3 linked regions of the Oryza sativa Japonica Group genome follow. The protein of the gene in region 1 binds, or shares a complex with, the protein of each later gene. Links are inferred from orthologs where the notes say so. Each region holds a gene or a part of one and is shown on either strand. Other genes may lie near its edges.

Region 1 (5,312 bases):
AGCTCACCCAGCGAAAAAGTTAGTCATAACAAGGAACAATTCAACAATTTAAGGAGACAAGATTTTGTAATCATACCCCTACTCAAGATGTTACTCTCTCCATTTTATATTATAAGTCGTTTTGACTTTTTTCGGAGTCAAACTTCTGTACGTTTGACTAAGTATATAGAAAAAAAATGGTAACATTTATAATACCAAACTAGTTTTATTAAATGTAACTTTGAATATATTTTTGATAACATGTTTGTTTTGTGTTAAAAATGTTATTATTTTTTCTATCATTTTGGTCAAAATTAAATAAGTTTGACTAGGAAAAAAAAGTCAAAATGATTTATAATATGAAACGGAGGGAGTAGAAAATTAGTGGTAACCAGCAGGTCAACACTGGTTTTTTGAAGCAAGATTGGGAAGCACTTTCTGTATAAAATTGGAAGAAAAATATGCAGTGGTTGACACGACATTGTATTTGAAAATATATGTGCAGTTTGAAGATCTAATATACTGCATCAGTGAAAAAAAAACATTATAAACTTACAACAAAAGTAAGCCAAAAAGCTTCTGCATCAGGGAAGCAATTACCAGACCAACAAACGAAAAACACGCGATCTACACCTCCTTCCCTAGGAATTGCTATCAGCCTCAGTCTCTGCAGCCTCATCTGAAAGTCATACAAAAAGAAGTTCCTGAGAAATGCTCAAAATAAGAGAAAGTTATAATATGCAGCACCAAAATGTAACAGAGAACTGAATGTCAATTAATAATAACTTAGTCCTGTAGCTATGCATAGTATTTACGAAAAGGAAGTGCTTGAGTGATGGAGAAAACATGTGTTTAACTAGGTTTTACCTCTAAAGCAACTTAAACCAGCATATTCACAGCTAACTACTTTATTAAGATGGTTCTAAGGTCTAACAGAACATCTTTGAAGTGAATGATGACAGTGCCAATGGCTGACAATGTTTCAAGTGATAGGTGATAGGGGTAGCTGTGTGGCACAGCAGATTGTGACACTATTATAAGGAGTGTACCAGTATCCCCAGAGTTCTGGTTCAGTGGTGTTCATGGATTCCATGCAGTCTCATTTCTTCTTATTTTTTAGTTTAGTGCTTAGGACTTAATCCACCTTCAGCCGAAAATTTAACCACCATTAGGTGAAGTCATTTTCTATTCGCAAATTGTTGAGTTGCTCATGAGCTCTGAATAAAAACCCTAAGGAGGTGCAAAATAACGAGTAAAATACAGACTCAGTGGGTCTACTGAGAGCTAGCATAGGGGTAGGTGGATCTCTAAGCATGCTTCTAAAATAGACCATTGAATTATGTCATGGACTTATTGGATCTTTCAGGAGGAAAAAAAACCATACGATGTACATTAGCATGGTAAGCATTTTTCCTTTTGCATGCTGGTAAGGATAAGAGAACTATTTCGAAAAAAAAATTAGCTCCATAAGTCTACAAGGCCACAAAGAATTTCTCCATAATAATTAAGATGGTATTCATAAGACAAAACTGGCTACATTTTCTGTTTCTTTGCCACGTTATCTTGTTTTTACCCTTAAAACGCATGTCAGGATCTTTATCAGCATACGTATAGCATCGATCATGATATTTACAACAGAGCATAGCTAAGAGTTAAAAGATAAAAAAAAAAACTACTGTACATGCCATTAAAGCAGAGCATTTTCTCTCCTAACTATCAACTAAAACATGTAAAATAAAGGATCACTGGATAGCATTAGTTACTCAAAGTCATTTCGCACATGCCCACCATAGAAACAATAAAAAGACACCTGGAAATTGTTCATGCATAGCTATGTACCTTGAGCAGCCTCCTCTGCGCTCCCTTCTCCTTCTTGCAACTCCTCTGCTTCCTCCTCACCATCATCCTCGCCATTGGTATCATCCTCATATTCATCAAAAACGGTGGCACCATACCTGGAGTTGAGATAGTTAATGGCGGCCGGGGTGAAGAAGAGCTTGCGGGCATCGAGGATGTCGTATAGGTTGAGAGTCCTGGGGGTTAGCATCTTGAGGGAGCCAATGTTCCTTCCGCTGAGCCGCACATTGTCTGCAAAATCCGTGGCGAAGAACATGGCCTTCTCCTTGGGGTCGAGCCCCCACCGCTGAAGCGCGGCCACGAAGTCCCTGGTCTTGGGACCCGCGGCGAACTCCTCGTCGAACTCCTCCACGACGAATGCATCGTCGGCCACGGCGGCACTGGCGAGCGCGGTGGAGATGGCGAGGCGCTTCTCCTTGCGGTTGATCTTGATGGACCAGTCGCGGGGCTTGGGCCCGAATATGACGCCGCCGCCGGGGCGGAGCGGCGTGCGCATCGACCCGCGCCGCGCCTTCCCCGTCTTCTTCTGCTGGTAGGGCTTCCTGCCGCCTCCCCTGACCTCGCCGCGGGTGAGCGTGGAGGCCGTGCCGCGGCGCTTGTTCTGGCGGTCGGTGATGATGGCGCGGTGCACGACGGCGCGCGCGGTGGAGGGCGGCGCCGACTTGAGGTCGAGGGCGACCTCCCCGACCTTCTCCCCGGTGAAGGAGAGAACCGGGAGGGTGGCCGCCTCGGCGCGAAGGGCGCGGAGGACGGAGATAGCCGCCTTCTGCTTGCCGGCGGCGACGGCGACGCGCGGGGAGGAGGAGGCGGCGGCGGCGGCGGATGGGAGGAAGGAGACCGAGGTGGGGGAGAGGAAGGGCGAGGAGGAAGAGGAGAGCGAGAGGAGGAGAGTCGAGGCCACGGAGGAGGCGGCCATTGCGGCGGCTTCGCTCGCTGCGGTGCGCTGCGTGGGCTGGACGACGGGGAGGCTTTGCCGCTGCAGCTGCGGAGCGGCCGCTTCTCTATCTCCTTATCCACCCCCACCCGACCGGACCGGCCACACTCTCGCGAGTGTCAGCTTAGTCGGTCGCGCCAGACCAGTAAGATACACACACTACTATGTGTTTGGATTTTAGAAGAAGCATCTCTTCATTAAAAAAACTTAGATATTGTTAAAGAAAAACCCTCGAGGCAGTATTAGTCTATTAGATGGTGTTTTTTTTCTAATAAAGATGAAATAAAATAGGAAAGCAAAATGAAAACGGCCCATTAGCTTATGTTTAATTAAGTTTTGATTATTTTAAACTTGAAATTGATTTATTTGATATTTTAAAATATTTTTATGTAAAAAATTCATATGAAACATACCATTTAGCAGTTTAAAAAATGTGTTAGGAAGAATTTGCATCTTAGTAAAGAAGGAGGCTTAGTTTCACCAAAATGAGTTTGAAATAATCAAATTAAATTTCATTTCCTTTTTGTCGGGTCAGATTGCTCATTAGCACTTGTGTATCAGAACAGTTGCCTGAGAACCACATTGACAGATGGGGCGCACCATAGACACAGTTATGCTAAAAATGGACAGGAACTCCAAATTTTCTACTTCTACTTTTGTTCTGAACACTTGCGAAGTTTTCACGATTGCGATCCTCTTCTCGGTTAGCTCTAACAAACAAGCTAAAGAAACTCAAGTAATCTGAACAGATGACTAGCGCTTGCGATTCTCATTGCCAACTTATTTTCTAGTGTTTCAATCTTCCATAACAGTATACTTTACACGAGCAACAGAGATAGCCTACCCAATATATACCATCATTATTGGTTCCTACAAGAATCACAGTGGTAATTGTACTACATCTTTAATCTCCTTTTTTTGGAGAGCCTACAGTCGATCAGAGTCTCACAGATAACTTGATATCTCCTAACAGGGGCGCTTGGCAACTCTGTCCATCGCTTTATGGAAACAATTGTGGTATAAGTAGGGAACTAACTCTTGTACAACCTAGATCATCTTAATGGCTTCGATGGTAACTTCTTAACAAGGCTGGTGTTGCCGGTTACCAATAATCGAGCGCCCTTCACCAGTTCCTCCTTAATCATAAAAAGGAGAGCAGAAGCAAAAACACTTTGTACGATTTTTGTGCTCATTCCTTTATAAAGCCCTGACAAACCTTCATAACGTATCATCTTTGTGATCGCATCAAATGTGCCTGCAAGCAATAAAATTTGCATAGCGTATTTGGTAACAAAGTCAGAGAACAGCAAATATTATTACCAGAAGAGAAGTAAAGACTATCAGAAACAGGATATGGAGCAACATCACTCATTAAATAATAATTCACTCTAAATAATAAAATGAAGTTTAAAGAATAAAGGCCAGCGATGTACCTTTGTAGCGGTGCCTCTTGTCATCATCAATTATTTGCTTCACCTGAAGTCTTGCCTGTAGAAAAAAAAAACATGGTTTAACTTGACATGTCTGCTCAATTGTGCACAGAAACGGCTGCTGCTGTAACTGGTGTTCAAATAATCACCTTCACAACTAGAAGAGGATATGTAACAACAGTCGCACCCAGTTTGGCAACAGCACCAAGAAGGAAAATCTGAACAAGGATTTTACAGCGTGAGATGAAGACGGTCTATAACATAGCTAACTAACAAAGAAATAGTAGTATTAGGAGCATATAAGAAATACTAGTGTTTTCAGCAAATCATCATGGTAAATGAAGTTAAGACATGCAACATATAATTACTGGACATGAAACATCGTTACTAGAAGAACAAACTTTCAAGTCAGCGTTACGGGTAGATTCAGGCCCCAATGCAGCAAGTTAGCATGATGCAAATTGGTTATATCCTAATAAATCTGTACAATGATCCCAGTCACCAGAAAAGCCAAAAGCCAAAAGCTTACTTCAAGAGCAGTCAGTCCATCAGCTCCCTTCAAATTAGAGGCACGTCTCTTTTTCAACTTCTTCAAAAGAGTCTCGTACAACATGAATTGGATTGCAGGGTTGCTAACCTGATGACAGATGAAACATGGAAACAATAACTTGTAAAAAAGAAATAACTTAGCAAAAGAAAATGCGACATAAGACTTACCATAATAAGAGCTGGAACTACACCTTTCCAGAAGCCCAAAAATCCAGCTTCTTTGTAAAGGTCCTGAATCTGCAGCCAAACGGAGTCAATCAACCATGCCCCAAACAAAGTCTGAATCATTAGCACTTGCATATTGACTATATGAAGTACTTAGGAGGACAAGTTTTACTTGGTTTTCAGAGATGAAGGATGGGTTTTATCCGCAGTTTAGGGACAAAAAAAAAAAGCTGAGCTAACAGTTTAGGAACTGGGATGAGGCCTAGGAAAAACTAAATGAGGCCTTTTTTCCATATAAGAACAGCTGTTAGTCTTGGATCCAGTAATCAGCAGCATGTAATTGCAAGAATAGAGTATCTCATCCTGAAAGAGAAATGATCAAAGTTACATACAACATG
Region 2 (4,559 bases), on another chromosome or scaffold:
TAAAGTGACTGCATTTTGACAAGGTGATGCACTTTTTTTTTTTTTGCCGAAACTCCACCTTTCTGTTCTTCTTTTCTTTCTCTTTCTATTTTTTTTTTAAAAAAAACGTGGTAGAGGTGTAAGCCCTGCTGGTTTGGTGTTACAAAATCCAAAAATGTACCAATGCAAGAGAAAGCCTTGACCTATTTGGTTAATAATGGGTTTGAGAGGGTGGGAAAGGGATATCAATTATCATATACCACCTCGCCTGTATATGATAAAGTGAGAAACTAAGGAATTCAAATATCTCACCTTTCCTTCAGAATTTAAGATGTTATTTCCTTTGTTCCAAACCTTCAAAATTCATTTGATCCATACAGGTCACAACTCATCTACAGCTAATATTGTGGGGGGTTTAGGATTAGTTATCCATCCCTTTATCCTTGACCATTATCCAAACGCCCCTTATCTCTTTTCCTTACCCATTATCCAAACGCTCCTTATAGTTAGTATGTATGGCTGTACAAGTATAGAGTACATGTTTAAGGCACTTAGAGGCTATTTGGTTGATGACCATAAGTTGCCACACTTGAGGTTAGATAAGTTTAACCATGTTAGGTGAGTGTTTATTTGGCTTCCACAAGTGTGGCAAGATTTCTTTTTTATAATCTAGATTCCACATCTAAGTGACTCTAAAAAGTGTGGCATGGTTTCATTTTGGGCCTATTTAGTTGGTGAAATGAAAATTTTTGGATGTCACATCGGACGTTTGACCGGATGTCAGAAGGGGTTTTCGGACTCCTTATAGTTAGTATGTATGGTTGTACAAGTATAGAGTACATGTTTAAGGCACTTAGGGGCTGTTTGGATGATGACCATAAGTTGCCACACTTGAGGTTAGACAAGTTTAATCATGTTAGGTGAGTGTTTATTTGGGTTCCACAAATGTGGCAAGATTCCTCTTTTATAATCTAGATTTCACATGTAAGTGACTCTAAAAAGTGTGGCATGCTTTTATTTTGGGCCTGTTTAGTTGGTGAAATGAAAATTTTTGGGTGTCACATCGGACGTTTGACCAGATGTTAGAAGGGGTTTTCGGACACGAATAAAAAAAAACTAATTTCATAACTCGCCTAGAAACCACGAGACGAATCTTTTGAGCCTAATTAAGCCATCATTAGCACATGTGGGTTACTGGAAACCACGAGACGAATCTTTTGAGCCTAATCAAGCCGTCATTAGCACATGTGGGTTACCGTAGCACTTATGGCTAATCATAGACTAATTAGACTCAAAAGATTCGTCTCGCGATTTACATGTAAACTGTGTAATTAATTTTTTTTATCTATATTTAATGCTTCGTATATGTGTCCAAAGATTCGATGTGATGTTTTTGCGAAAAGTTTTTGGGAACTAAACATAGCCTTTATTGGCTAGAGCGTGGCTTGGATTTTGATGGCCTCAACTTTAGCGAGAAAACATGGTAAACCTTAGCAATGTTAGTACGTGAACTAACAGCCCCTTACTGCTTATTCTGAAGACCGGACAAACTGATGTATGCAACGATTCTATTCGAGAGCCCAGACCAACACTAGCATGCATCGATTCAACGAGTTGGAAATGTCCAATTACAGAGTGTGCAAATTGCAATATCTCCATTTTATATCGATGTCAAAGAGTACAGGCAGAGAACAAACAGTTCGATACCACAAATATGATCACACGTATCCACTGAGAACACCGATCGAACACCTAGAGAGCAATGCGAATGCACGTGTAACGAGAGGCGCAAGCAAGAGGAGCTAATCCATTTTACGCAATTCCCAAAATCAACCAAGAGAAACCGCACCGGCGAGGCCGGCGGCGGAGGCGAGAGGCGAAGCGGGGGCTCAGCTGGCGCCGGCGGATCCCTCCTCCTCCGGGTCGAACTCCGGGTCGCCGTCGGGGTGCATCTCCCTCCACTGGTCCTCGGGCCAGTACTCCTTGATGTGGCCCCACTTCTTGCGGAACTTCTCGATCTGGCTGTCCATGACGACCATCGCCGACGTGTCGCCGACGTAGTAGGGGTGGTTCCCCGACCACACGTCCACCGTGTACTCCGGCTTGGTTCCCCCCGTCACCAGCACCAGCTCCCCGTTGCAGTACACCTTCGCGTCCTCGTAGATCTCCGGGTGCAGCCCCTTCTTCCGCATCGAGCACCGCATCCTCTGCACGGCAAATCGTCACACCACCGCCCAGTTCCAATCACCTCCTCCGAATCTCCGATTCGGCGGCGCTACGCCTACGCGGTTGTGGGGGCATCGAAGGAATCGTACCTGGGAGGGGACGAGGGAGCGGAGGGTGGTCCTCGTGGCCGCCGCGGCGGCTTGGGTCGGGAGGAAGGAGGTGGAGAGGGAGAGCGCCATGGCTGCTGCTTCCTCGCGCGCTCGCGTCGCACTTTGCTCCGGATTCCCCTGTTTCGTGTCCCTTATCGGTTTCTGGTGTGTGTTATCCTCTCAAGCGTTGATGATTCTCAATTTTTGAGGCTTTGGTGCCGTGCGGGTGGCCGCTCGCCTGCCTCGCTTTGGCTGGGCTTTCTTAATTGTTGTTTGGTTTGGGCTGATACACGTTGGTTACTTACTGGCCCAGAAAAAAAAATGTATGCAATTATTTCGTTTACGTGGTAAAAATATGCAGAATTCCTAATTCTCGCATACGCGCCGCGGGCGCGCACTTCTGGCCCACGCGTATGCACGGCACCGCACGGGCGCGGTTAGATTCTTTCCATAGCGCATGTAGTAACTAGTCCATTAGTTTTAGCGTGTAAAAAAATACATTAGTTTTAGATAATCAAGATAAGATTTGTTTTTTCCGAAAATTTTTTAAAGTAACAGATTGAAAAGAAATTTATACATCAAGTCAAATTCTGAAAACTTTCAACCCATATTTGAAAACTTTCAACTCGAAATTTGAATTTTTTTTAAAGTCAAATTTTGAAAACTTTCAACTTTTCATCTCAAATTGAAAAAATTCAACTCAAATTTAAAACTTTCAACTCAGATTTGAAAACTTTCAAGTCAAATTTAAAAACTTTGAAGTCAAAATTTAAAACTTTCAACTCTACATTTGTAAAGGGGTGTGCGAAAGATTAAAAAAATAGAAAGAAATGGCGAAAAAAAAGAAAAACGCACCCGGATCCAGGCGCCAAAATCGTAAAAAAAAAGTGAGAAAGAAAAGCACGCGGGAACAGGGGAGGGGGCCAACTGACGCGGGCGCCAGCTAAATTGCTAGCACGTACGTGCGCATTAGCCTCCCCAAAGATATGGGTTAATTGGATCATGTTATTGCAAGTTTACCAATTTGCCATTACTATTCACGATATCAGGTTCATGCCACTGAAATTTTGCAAAATTTGAGCTATGCCACTCCGTTACAACAACTGTCAATACCTCTGTTAGCTCAACACCGCACAACGCAGATCAGTTTCTTCTTCAACTCAGGCGAAAATCTGGCGGTTCTCAGGCTCGTCGACGACTGCACGGAGAGAGCTTCTTCGATGAGGGCGTTGCCAATCCGGTGACGATTGCAAGCTTAATACCCAATGAAGGGAGGTGGAGCTGGAGGGGAGTGACGGTCATGAACCCTGCATCGCTGGTGGAAGGTGGAGGGAAGCGCCGAGCCCAACCCATGCGTTGGAGGGGAGTGGCGGTCACAGACCCCACGCCGCCGGTGAAAGATGGAGGGGAGCGCTAAGCCTAATCCCCGCACTGGAGGGGAGCGGCGTCTAGAACCGTCATCTTCCTTGCCGGTGGAGCCCCACGTGCCGCGGCCAATGAATCTACAGTTATATTGGGATGGAGACCCGCCACCTCTTCTTCTCCCCCATTGTCTTCCTTGCTGATAATGCCCCCATAAGCTGTGGCCGACGACACTATGGTGGAGCCATGGAGGCAAGGTTGGGGACGGAGACCCGCACCACCTCTTCTTCCCTACCGTCGCATGCGATGACTCCACGCTGTGCGCTGAGCCCGCCGCCATCGTCGAAGGAGAGGGTGACAAAAATTGTGATGGAGTGGCATAGCTCAAATTTTGTAAAATTCCAATGGCATATACCCGATATCCAGGGGCGGATCCAGGAACAAAATATTGGAGGGGCTCAATTACACTGTTTCTTCAATTTCCAACCATTTAGGAACCTTTAGTTTATCATTCATGGTGAAAAAATTGAAGGGGGTGCTCCGGGGGGTATCCATGGGTCTTGTGGGTGTAGGGGGGACTCGAGTCCTCCCTGCACCCACCTTGGATCCGCCCTTGCTGATATTGCAAATAGTAGTGATATTTTTTTTAAATTAGCAAATTTACAATGGCATGAAATTAAACTGTAAAAATATTTGTGTTAGCATTTTTCGAGGTGAAAGCGGTCTCTTCGATAACTTAGATGGGCCTACTGTCAGTGGCATGAGAGGACCACCGTGTACGCCTAAACATGCCATATTCAAGATAGAGAGAAGACAAGGGAGGGGAAGAAGAGGCTGACATGTGGGGCTCATTTGGGTCCCACACTAAGTCAGCTGTCATGTTGGATAAACCCGAAGTTAAAC
Region 3 (5,245 bases), on another chromosome or scaffold:
CATCACTTTATCTACTCCCAATACCAGGGAAAAAAAAGAACTAGATGTAATGGTATATGTATCTTACGAATTTGATTGAATGAATCTGAATCTTTAGCTGACGTTGATCCTCAGCAGGGAGTGATCAAATCCCAGCATAGCATGATTCACTAATAAAAATGCCTCTTATGGTTAGTACAAGGTAAAAACAACTGTAGGATGCATGTAGTACTACATTAAGGTTAACGAAATTTCCTTGGAAACGATCTTGACTGAATAATTCTTTGTTTAAGGAAAAGAAATAGGGTACAATACTTGCACTGTTGCCTATTAAGCAGCACGGAGTATATGCACTTCACCTGAAGGTTAACAAAATTTCCTTGCAAGTGGTTTGTACTGAATCGCCATTTATGTTAAGGAAGAAAAATATCTATACAATACTTGTCTATAGAAACACTGAGCTCATGAAGATTAACAAAGGAAATGCGATCTTTACTGAATCACCCTTCTTTAAGGAAAAGATATATACATAGTGCTATCAAGTAACACTGAGCTACATGTATTACAACTGAAGGTTAACAAAATTTCCTTGGAAGGGATTTTGACTGAATCGCCTTTGGTGAAGGAAAAGATTTACACATTACTAGTGCTCTTGAGCAGCAGTGGGTTGCATGTGCTACATTGAACATCAACAAAAAAAAAAATCTCCTAAGCAATGTTTGACTGAATCATCTAGTGATGTAGAGAGAAAATATCAGATAAGAGTAGAAGATTCCCTTGGATACATACCATGTTCTTCGACACCTTAATCTCAGAGAGTAGATCAGACGAGCACTTCGACCTTCTTCTTCCCCTTGAGGAAGACCTCCCTGTCAACAAGCTCACGCATGTATCCATCAAACTCCACAGGAACTCCACCATTGAGCCTCTTCATCTCCAGAAACCACTTGCTATCTCTCGCCCAGAGTTCCTCAAACGCATCTAGGTAATGCACACTGCTGTACTTTGCCTTCAGCGCATCCAACAAGACCACGTTGATGCCCTCTCCCGCAACATACACCTGCCTTCCTCCTCCATTGAGTCTCTCCTCAATCCTTCTTCTGAGGTTCCCATCATTGCCACCAACATGAACAGAGTCAAAATCTACTTGCATCCTTGATATGATACCATCAACAATGTCCATCAAGCTTGGCGCCGTGCGTATTGCTCCCTGCGGTGGACGGAGGACATGCTCAGCTTCGCCCTCGCACACATTGTACCAATAATTCCCTGGCTCCACGTCCCCAAATTTCCTAACGATCAGGGGATCCCTCGACTTGGAGAACTTGGTGGGCGCAACCCTGCTGTCCTCGATGATGCGGACTCCAAGCTGACCCTGTGCTCCCCACTTGTCCCAATCCTCCCAGAACCGCTTGTGTTCAACGATCCCGACCACGGATTGCAGGTGCTCAATGTCAATATAGAAGGCGAGGCGCTTGCCCTCCTCGGGCATGCCCCCGGCGTAGGCGGCGGCGAGACAGACGCTGAGATCGAGGACGAGGGTGCGGTTGAGGTAGCGGGCCTCGGCGATGGAGCAGAGGAGACTACGAAGATAATGCGGCATGGGCTTGCACCGGTCGCCGCCGCCAAGGTAAGAGAGGTACTTGCCCGCGGCGAACTGGGAGCGCGAGAGCGCGGGTGGGGGCGGCGGGGCGGTGGCGTTGGTCCCGCCGCGGCGGGGCTTGCGGGCGAGGGGGCCGGAGTGGTATTCCCCGATGGAGGTAACGGAGTAGGCGCAGGTGACGGGGTCGCGGGCGACGGAGAAGCGGCGGTAGTCCTTGTAGTTGGCGGAGGCGGTGGATCGGGCGCGCCAGGCCATGTCGCAGGAGGACGACGGCGGGTCGCCGGGGACGGGGCGGCCGAAGCGGTTGAAGTGGACGTCGGGGAAGGCGTCGATGGCGCGGCGCATCATGAGGTGGAAGAGCTGCGGGTCGGCGCAGTCGAGCGTGGAGGTGGTGTCGCAGCTGGCCTGATCCTGCTGCTCCAGGTGGGACGTGGTGGGCGTCAAGGCGGCGGTGGGAGGGGAGAGGGAGATGGGGAGGTTGCGGAGGGTGAGGAAGAGGAAGGCGACGAGCAAGAGGGCGGCGGCGGCGTGGGCGGAGGAGGTGATGAGGGCGCCCCGCCCCAGCAACGGCCGGCTCGGGTCCATCCGGCGACGGCGACGGCCGACGGCGATGAGATCTGGTGGCTGATTGTGTAATAAAGCCCCGTCTGCAGGCGGCGGACGGTGGTGAACTTGTTTCTAGGAAGACGACGAACTGTTCCTCTTAATGGGCCTAACATGAGTGGGCCTAAGACGAAGGCCCATGATTTGGCCCAAGAATCGCATCTCGTCGTGGATAAGACGATAAAGCAACATTGTGTGGGGATAGCCATAGCCCTGCACCGCACCTCGACTCCCCAAACATGGCGCTCGCCCTCGTCTCGCCAATGGCGGCTCTCTCACTCCACTCCGGGAGGATCTCAGCGGCGGCTATCGGCGGCGGCCTCCGCTCTCGCAGGGCATCCCCGATGGGCGCCGCCGCCACCCCGTTCCTCCGGAGCTCCTTCGTCTCCTCCTCCTCCACGTCATCCGCCTCCGCCTCCCCCGCCGCGCTCTCTGCCGCGGTCTCGGCGTCGCTGACCTTCACCTCTGCCTCCTCATTTGCTGGTGAGAATGTGTACTTTACTCGTTCCTGATTCGCTTCGTTCTGTTGCTACCATTTGGGTTGGGGAACTAGATGGAGGAGAGAGTTGCCTGCAAAGAGAAAGGGAGGAATGAACTTTTGTGCTGCTGGTTTCGGCTTTAAGTACTGTACAATGGAGTGTTTATACTGTCAGATAGGTAGCGTGTACAGTTAATCAGTGCTTAATGTCAGAAGATAACTAAACTAAACTAGCGATTTTAATGCAATTGATATATTTGAAAGTTCTGATGGTATTCTGGCAATTTCCTGAGAAATCTTAAATTCAAACTCTGCCGTACTTGTTAGCTGCTGTACGCAGCTTGTTATAATCTGCAATGTCTGATCCTAAAGCCCACGCATTCTTATAGTTAACCATGTGCTAGAGAATTTTGCTTAAGATGTGGATTCCGATTAAGATTAAAAAAAATCACTTGTTTACACATCCAGTTTTTTAGTGTAAGAACGTGTATATATATTCATAATTCAGTGATTAGTTCTAGATGGTTCCATGTTAGGAAACCTACACGGCTGAAAGTTTCTTTTCTTCCTCCATGTACTGTGATACTGATATTGTGATTTCCAGTAGTGCCAGATGGACTGTAGATTGTAGTACATTCTTGCGACAGAATCATGAAAACATCACAAAAACTCAGGAAACTCCACTTTTTGGAGCGAGCGCATGAGCTTAATTTAGTAAACTCATTATGAAATATATCATCTAACATAATTATACTACGAACTAACGAAATCACTGAATCAAGAACGTTTAACTGGACAACTCAACTTTTTAAACAGTTCAGTTACAATTAATAGCCTTGCCACCTAAAGCAAAACCAAAATGCTCCTAAAACAAGCCAATAACGTTAGATTAAAGGAACTATTGCAATGATATTATCCTTTTGGAAAATGAACTGTACTTTACATACTAGAGTTTTTTTCCAAATGATCTTAGAGAACAAAAACACAAACTAAGGGCAATCAAATAGCCGGTTTCTGTGCTGTACTGTTGTATTTAGCAAATCCATGTTCTTATGTATCAAACCATATTTGTTCCAACCTACAAATGATTTCAGTATCCTAATATGTTACATATTTCAGGTTCATCTTTGGGAATTGAATTCAGCTACAACAGAGTTACAACAGGAAGATCCCGGATTCTGCAGATTAGGGCTGGAAAGGCTGCTCTGTGCATGACCAAGAGAAATAGATCTAGGAAGTCGCTTGCCCGTACACATGGTTTTCGCAGACGGATGAGGACTACTGCCGGAAGAAAGGTCCTGAAGCGCAGACGCGCCAAAGGAAGAAGGGTTCTCTGCACAAAGACGAACTCCCCCACTGGGAAGAAACGAATGTTCTGATTGAATCGCATTCTAAGTCGCTCTTTGTCACAATTGTAAGTGTATTTTTTTATCCCACGTTCTCGGTTATACTCAACCATAACAATTGGTGCAAATCCTTCACCCGGTGTCCGGTTAATGTGTGAAGTACATTATCAACACAAATTCAAGTTAGCCTTTTTGCTTGTGCAGTATTTAGTAGTTGTTTGCTGTGGGAATATGTTCTCCTTGATCTGCATTGCCATGGTTTTCCTCTGATCTATCTTGACTGCATTCTGAGCATAGATTTTGCCAAAGGGCCTAAATGCTAACTTGAGCAGTTGCTCAAATAAACTCATCAATTTTTCTATTCTGTAGTAGAACGTCCCTTTTATTTTCTGATACAGTCCAGTGAATTTTAATATTCAGATCATCTCATCATAGTCACTCCATGCTCCACTGTGTAACACAATTTATCCACCTCCTCTGTGCCAATCTCTTTGGTACACACTTATTTGTAAAACAACCTGATTGCCCATCCAATCCTCTGTCACCTTATAATTTTGCTACTATCAGGCGAAAAAATGGATAATATCCAGAACTCAACCTGGAATAAATGAAAGGCAACAAGTAGCAAAGAGAACATTTACATTCTAACAAACTGAATCCCTCCTCTTCTTCACTCGCATCGGCAAGCCGCCTTCCATCCTCAAGGTCACCGAGAACACAAGCCCTGGCCGTCCCTCGCCGCCGACGAACCTGAAGCTGAACCTCTCGAACACGCACGCCGCGATGGACTTCATCTGTATGTATGCCATCTCCTTGCCGAGGCACATCCTCGGCCCGCCGTGGAACACCGGGTACTTGAACGGGCTCTCCGGCCGGAACACGCCGTCCTCGTCGAGCCACCGCTCCGGCCTGAACTCCTCGCAGTCCGCGCCCCATAACTCCTCCAAGCGCGCCATGGCGTACGCGCTGTAGGTGACCTGCCATCCTTTGCCGACGAACGTGCCGTCCGGCAAGACGTCGTCGTTCTGGCAGCAGTGCGAGTCCATGGCCACGGGCGGGTACAGCCGCATCGCCTCCGTGATGGCCGCGTGCAGGTAGTGCATCTCGCGCAGCTCGTCAAAGCTGAACGCCGCCGCGTCCGTGCTCCCGCTCGACGCGCGCACCGCGCGGATCTCGCGCGCGATCCTGTCCTCCACGTCCGGCTGGCCGGACACCAGCCAGAAGAACCAGGTCAGC

The links.
Region 2: large ribosomal subunit protein uL4c (region 1) and uncharacterized protein share a complex: the UniProt entries of both Arabidopsis thaliana proteins name them as parts of the 50S ribosomal subunit. The link is inferred for Oryza sativa Japonica Group from reciprocal best matches to the Arabidopsis thaliana genes RPL4 and emb2184.
Region 3: large ribosomal subunit protein uL4c (region 1) and large ribosomal subunit protein bL34c share a complex: the UniProt entries of both Arabidopsis thaliana proteins name them as parts of the 50S ribosomal subunit. The link is inferred for Oryza sativa Japonica Group from reciprocal best matches to the Arabidopsis thaliana genes RPL4 and AT1G29070.

The regions. Positions count from the first base shown.
Region 1 is NC_089037.1:8,801,305-8,806,616, reverse strand, and holds large ribosomal subunit protein uL4c, read right to left. Parts: upstream 2,821-5,312; 5' UTR 2,753-2,820; coding exon 1,819-2,752; intron 659-1,818; coding exon 621-658; 3' UTR 404-620; downstream 1-403. Other genes in the region: peroxisomal nicotinamide adenine dinucleotide carrier, read right to left, coding at 3,823-4,025, 4,204-4,258, 4,350-4,418, 4,730-4,837, 4,918-4,986, 5,307-5,312. UniProt on the Arabidopsis thaliana protein: This protein binds directly and specifically to 23S rRNA. May play a role in plastid transcriptional regulation.
Region 2 is NC_089035.1:25,928,389-25,932,947, forward strand, and holds uncharacterized protein, read right to left. Parts: upstream 2,469-4,559; 5' UTR 2,385-2,468; coding exon 2,295-2,384; intron 2,187-2,294; coding exon 1,869-2,186; 3' UTR 1,608-1,868; downstream 1-1,607. UniProt on the Arabidopsis thaliana protein: Binds the 23S rRNA.
Region 3 is NC_089035.1:34,739,658-34,744,902, reverse strand, and holds large ribosomal subunit protein bL34c, read left to right. Parts: upstream 1-2,400; 5' UTR 2,401-2,424; coding exon 2,425-2,668; intron 2,669-3,781; exon of another isoform or gene 3,782-3,782; coding exon 3,783-4,042; 3' UTR 4,043-4,215; downstream 4,216-5,245. Other genes in the region: uncharacterized protein, read right to left, coding at 803-2,167. UniProt on the Arabidopsis thaliana protein: This protein binds directly to 23S ribosomal RNA.